Linked DNA regions of Yarrowia lipolytica. The protein of the gene in region 2 interacts with the protein of the main gene of each other region in a pairwise test. Links are inferred from orthologs where the notes say so. Each region holds a gene or a part of one and is shown on either strand. Other genes may lie near its edges.

What was found.
Region 1: the proteins of YALI1_B09894g (region 2) and YALI1_C07780g interact in binary tests that used the Saccharomyces cerevisiae proteins (3 or more experiments, as listed by UniProt). The link is inferred for Yarrowia lipolytica from reciprocal best matches to the Saccharomyces cerevisiae genes CYC8 and HOS2.

What each region holds. Positions count from the first base shown.
Region 1 is NC_090772.1:777,120-779,868, reverse strand, and holds YALI1_C07780g (uncharacterized protein), read right to left. Parts: upstream 1,848-2,749; coding exon 546-1,847; downstream 1-545.
Region 2 is NC_090771.1:987,913-991,674, reverse strand, and holds the start of YALI1_B09894g (uncharacterized protein), read right to left. Parts: upstream 2,227-3,762; coding exon 1-2,226. UniProt on the Saccharomyces cerevisiae protein: Acts as a component of the CYC8-TUP1 corepressor complex which is involved in the repression of many genes in a wide variety of physiological processes including heme-regulated and catabolite repressed genes.

The DNA.
Region 1 (2,749 bases), on a different chromosome or scaffold from region 2:
CTGAAAAAGAAATCACTCAATTGAACTGTATGTACATAGAAAACAGACCACTATCCAACACACTAGCACCTGGTGGCCCTCTCCTAATCCACGAGCCGGCCGAATACCACCATACTCAGCAGCGCAAAATTCTCACGCCGATCTTATCAAATAAATCTGAAACAACGCACGCCGTCACACGTCCGAAAAAGCCCGTGCTCCCGTCTCACTCCCATTCTGGCAAATGCCACGGTCGATAATGCAACATACATCCAGATACAGTTGCAATACTTTTCATCAGCCCATTTTTGAGCCTCCAATAAGCATAACCCTGCAAGTCTAAGTGTAGCGCGTAAGCATACCTCTAAGGAGACAAACGATCATATCTGGTGTGTTGAACAATGTCCAGTTTTGTACGAGTATCCGTCGTCCGTCTCAAGTAAATGCGTCAACTATCGATAGTGGTACTTGAAGTCGTTTCTGTGCCCCCAATATCATCATTAGTTGATTACGAGCCTTTCGACTCCCTGCCTATTTACAATAAATATAATGTGCTCCATGCCCGACTACCTCGCATCCTTCATCGCCTCGTCAAGCTCATCTCGTCGCTGCTTTTCTCCCTCCTCAGTCAGACCGGCCAGGTCCGGCGGAATTTCAGCCATCTGAACACTGGGGGCTCCCTGCAAAGTTCTCAGCTGTTCCATCACCTGCACATGCACAGAATCCAGAAACTTGCGGGAGTTCTTGTTGTCGATCTTACCAGCCAGGTTGGGATGCAACGAGTAATCTGGAGCAAAATACTTGAGAAAAGGCATGGAAGAAGGCAACCGAGTCTCCAGATCAACGTCCAGACACACACTGGTCTCATAACACCACAATCGAGACACGTTGCGAGGGGTGTATCCTCCTCCTCCAAGCACAATCAGAGGCAGGCCAAACGACTTTGTATATGCAACGCACTCTCCATGGGCCTTGATGTTGAGATTGAAACATCCCAAACGATCTCCACCAAGCGAATCAGCTCCACATTGAAGCACAATAGCCGAGGGTCTGTAACTGTTGAGAACAGGCTCTAAAACACTCTTGAACAGCCGCACGTACGACTCGTCGTCGATTCCGTCTCGTAGCGGCACGTTGAGTGAGTAGTTCTTGCCCAGACTAGTTCCAATCTCGTCAAAGTTTCCCGTACCAGGGAAGAACTCTCCGTTATACTTGTGGAACGACAGAGTCATGACTCGGTCGGTCGAATAGAACGCCTCCTGCACTCCGTCTCCGTGGTGAATGTCGATATCAATGTAAAGAACACGTGGATACATTCTGAGAAGGTTCAGAATCGCCAACACAATGTCGTTCACATAACAGAATCCACTGGCTTCAAACTTTTTCGCATGATGCAGACCTCCAGACCAGTTGATGGCGATATCTGACTGGCCAGCAAGAAGCTTTCGACTCGCGTCCAAACTGCTACCTGCGTAAATGATCGAGTAGTCGTACATGCCGTCGAAAATGGGACAATCGTCTCCAATGTTAAACTTGGGTAAAACTCGCTGGAACTTTTTGATGTTATCCGGAGTGACACGTTGCAAGAAATCAATGTACTCTTCGGCGTGGAACTCCCGCACCTCTGTTTCTGTGGCTCTTCGGGATCTGTACAAGTCCAGTTTGTTGTGTAGCTTGTATCCCAGCACCAGATGGTCTGTCAGCATGAGTCGAAACGGTTTCATGGGGTGACGGACTCCATAATGGTATCGCGCAGCCTCCTCGTTGAAATGGTACGACACGCGGCGTTTTTGTGTCGTCAGAAACGACTCGTAGAGAGGCGTGTTTTCCACCGTCTTGGAGTCAAACACGATGGTTGGTTCTGACATGACTGTAGAGAAGTGGAATGTGATGTGATGCTATGTGTTGTGTTTGTGACGGTGTCGCGTTGATTTTGGTGTCACTTGTGCCGCGTCTCTGCCGATAAATCCCGTATTATGTGCTTTTTTTTTTCTGTCGTATATTGTTTAGTGCACTGGAGATGGGTGATGGAGGTGAATTAATTGTGCATATAAGAAACTTTATTGGTAGGGTGAAATTCTAGGACAGATAGAAAAGGTGGCGAAAAGTCGGGAAAAATGGCTTGTGAGCATATCTTTTTCTCTAATGTTGGCCATTATCTGACCATGGCTTACTTTATTGAGCAAGTAATTTTCTCTCATCATGTAGCACCTGACCCAATACCCACTGCCATGTCTCTACCTCCTTACCACTATACACAGCTAACATCTACAAGTACATACTGTACATACAGTAGTCTCAAAAGAGTCAATATAACGGAGGGTATAGAGACGTCAGAAATATAAAAATTCCGGAAAACCATTATTAAAGCTACATTTGAACGACTGGAAAAATCACTAGCTTGATCAAACACCTCCAACACGATGGAAACGTCCCTTATAAATTTCCGTTTTCAGAACCTCAAGTTTGAGATTAGTTTACCTGTTTAACCGAGGTCAGCTCAACATAACACTCAAAGTAAGGCACCAAATACCCTCACAGGAGTCTCAGTCTATATGAATAATAGTATCATCCACTCAGACCTCCCCAATCGACTTTTTTTGAGCTCCGTAACCCTCCAAACACCACCAACTCACCTCTCCTCCACATTCAACTGAACTCCCAACTAAACCCCAACTATCGCTCTCAGGGTGGTTCCCTCCTAACCCTAACCCTACTCTCCCGCATCGCCACATACATCATGCTCACGGTGGTTACAGTACTCTTCATT
Region 2 (3,762 bases):
GGCTGGGCCAGGAGCAGGAGCAATGCTGGGCGTAGATGCGGCCGAAACAGGAGCCGTCACTGGTTGAACCGGCTTCACGTCGCTAACCTCGTTCGCGTCAGACTTAACGTCAGATTGAACGTCGGGCTTCTCTGGCTCCTGAGCCTGCGCAAGTGCACTAGGAGGCGCGGCAGGAGGCACGGCGGCAGCGGCGGCGGCAGTGGGCGCCGCAACGGGCGCAGAAACAGGCGCGGAAATAGGCACCGCAACGGGCACGTCCGGCTCCTCCTTCTTGGGCTCAACCGCTGCGGGAGTCGGCGTGTCCTGCACTGGTGGCAGCTCTTGGGTCGTCGGCACGTGCTGGGGCGCGGGCGGCGGCACCGTGGGTGGGGGCGGAGGCAGAGGCGTGGTTCCAGCGGCATTGGCGGCGTTGGCAACAGCCGGAGGAGCGGCCGGAGGCGCACCGGGAGCACCGGGAGCTCCAGGAACACCCGAACCAGCGCCCGAAGAGCCGATATCACGCTCAACGGCATTAGCCTGGCCACCCGGAGCAAGATTGGGGGTGTTATTGCCGCTGGCGGGCGTGGCGGCGCCATTAACATCCACGCGCTTGAAACGGCGCTCGTCCTCCCATTCGCCGGGTCGCTTCTCGCCTCCCTGGTGACCGTGGCCGTTTTCGGCGTAGTCAATCTGTGGCAAGACGCGCTGCTGGATCTCGGAGATTCCGGCGAGCTGTGGGAGAGCGGCAGCGGGTTGCGGAGGCGTGGGAGCGGCGGTCTGGGCGGTGTTGGGCGCAGTCTGAGCAGCCGGAAGACCGTTAGGAGGAGGCAGCGGCGCAGAAGAGGCTGCCAGAGGAGGAGGAGCCCCAGATCCAAGACCAGAGGCGTTGGAAAGCCCGCCGGGAGGCCCGCCGGGAGCCAGTCCTGGAGGTCCAAGTCCAGGAGGAGCCTGAGGAGTTCCGGCAGCTCCTCCGGCAGCTCCTCCGGCAGCAGCGTTGGCTCCAGCGGCTCCTCCAGCGGCATCGTCCCAGCCAGGAGGACCGTGATGGCTGTAGCTCTGGGGATTGACGTCCTGGGGTCGAGGAGGACCGGCGGGGGCGGCGCCATTGTGGCCCTGGCCCGATCGCAACTGCAACAACCGCTCTTGGATGTGGGGATTGTGGGGGTCCAGCTCGGCGGCCTTCTGATAGGCGTCGATGGCGTCGTTGACTTGGTTGTTGCAGCTCTCGTAGAGCGTGCCGAGATCGTACCAAACCTCGGAAATGTAGGGATTGAGGCGGATGGCGCGGGAGTAGGCGTCCAGAGCGTCGCGGTACTGGTTGATCTGGTAATAGAGCACGCCAATGGAGCACCAAAAGGTGGGGTTGCGCCCGTCGCGGTAAACGGCCCGTTGATAGGCCTCGTACGCCTTGTTGTACTTTTGCTGCGCCATGTAGCACCGGCCCAGTAGATACCACGACTGGGCCTCCAGGGGATCTGCGTCCAGCGACTTGAGCAGATAGTTGATAGCCACATCCTGGTTGGCAAAGGTGGACGATTGCTGGTGGTGGAGCCAGCCGAGTTGCTGTAGAACCTTAGCGTGGTTGGGGTTTTCCACCAGCACGCGGTCGTAAGCTTCTCGCGCCAACTGGAAGTCCTTCTGCTGCTCATGGACATGGCCAATCTGGAACCAAATGTCGATTTCGGTCAGCGGTCGAGGCGGGTTGTGCAGAATGTACCGGAAGCAGTCGAGGCTCTGCGAGTACTTGGCCTGCTGCTTGTAGATGATGCCAAGCCGGAAGTAGATTTCGTTGGCCTTCTCAAAGTGCGGGTCCATTTCCATCACCTGCGAAAACGCCTCTTCGGCGTACTCCAGCGAGCCGTACCGGTCGTACAGAATGCCGATGCCGTACCACAGCTTGGGGTCCTTGGGGTCCCGCAGATGGTACAGGGCCTGCTGGTAGGCGGAGTAGGCCTTGTGCAGGTCGTCCATCATCAGATAACAGTGGCCCAGCGAGCCGTGGGTCTCGCCCGAGTCCGAGCTCAGCGAGATGATGTTCTGGTAGTACTCCACCGCCTTGGGGAAGTGTTCCATCGACCGGTACAGGTTGGCGATGGCGGTCAGAGCGGGAATGGAGCAGGGGTTGTAGGAGAGCGCTGCCTCGTAGGCGTTGATGGCGCGTTCCGACTCGTTGAGCAGCTCTGCCAGCGAGCCCACCGCCAGCCAGGTGTCGATCGACGCCGTTTGTAGTTTTTGTAGTTGGGTCATGGTCAGAGTAATGAGTAGTCGGAGTAGTCAGCAATACCGTAATAGTAGTCAGCAATCACAATCAACAATCTCGTCAATATCAATCGTCAACGAGAAATGTCCTTGCCAAAAAGTAAGCCCTTGTCGAAGTCGTCAAAAGTAGTAACAAGTCGTCAACCAAAAATTGTCGAAAATCGGTCAGCCAAAAAATCACCAAAATCAACCAATCACGTGACAGAGGCGAGCGATATCCAGACTCGAAAATCACGTGTGTGCGTGTGTGTGTGTCTCGTTTGTGGCGGTCGTTTGAATTCGGCGTCCGAAAAAATGCCTTGTGTTTTTGTGTCTCTTGCGCCGTTTGTGTCGCAGGCTTTTATGTCCGTTGTTCGCTGTCTGTGTCACGAGGTCGAATCGAGAGCCGGAAAAATCGGGGGTGGCGCTAAGGCGGCAGCTAGCAGCAATTTACCGTCAAAACAATCACTTTCGCACCAACAAAGGGTTCGGGCAGAATTGGGATGTCGTAAAAAGTCGCCCAAAACAAGTGGTGATGTTTGAATGCAGCAGGGCAGGGAGGAGGTGGAGTAGGGTTAGAATTAGGGTTAGGGCTAGGTTTTGGATTGGTCGGTCGGGGGGGGTGGTGGTTGAGGCTTTTTAGACTTCGGGCTCGGAAAAACCTTATTTGAGTTGGGGGAACGGGGAAAACAGGGTGTGCCTGGGAGGGTTAGGGTTGTGGGAAATGAGTAGGATAGTGAAGATTATGTAATACATAACACTTATCCTAACGACCCCTGGCCCGATAATTTTATTCCGCTCGAGTTGGGTCACGTGACCAGCCACATTGGTCTTATCTTATTACCCTCTACGCAACTATCGTCCTGCCCCTGCCCTGGTGGTCAAACTCAATTTTTATTTCCACTGCAACGGCCCCCCGGGTAACTAGGCAATCTTATTTTGCGCTTACGTGGCGTATTGCCCCATTACTCATGTGCGGCGCGTCGTATCCACCCACGTGCATAATGGTGAACTGGGTACGAGTTAATCTGGTGAACGGCGGTGTGGAGGTGTTGTTGCTTGAAAAAGGGATAAAAGATGGAGCAGATGATGTGTTGATAGAGAATGGATGGCTTAATTTCCTGTATTTAATGGTGAAATGTTTTTACTGTTGGGTTGTCGGTGATATTTATTGTAGTGTCGTCGGGTGTGATTTTTTTAAATAAATAAATAAATAAAAATTTTTATTAAAATAGAAAATGAAAAAATGGGAAAAGGAATAAAATAATAATAAAATAATATTGATAATACTTATTTGAAGTAATATTTAAATATAGAATAATAATAATAATAAATAATAATAATAATAATAAAAATATGGAAGAAAACCCTCGCACATAAGAAATGGAAATCGTGGCCAGTTGGAGGGAAATTCGGCCGCACGAATACGGGTGGAATAAGAAGGGTTAATTGAAAGACTGGGGTCGGGATATCTTGGGCCGTCTCTGGCATTTGGATAATGTGGTCTGAGTCATCAGACATGGCTGCTCTGAGCCCTATTTGCAG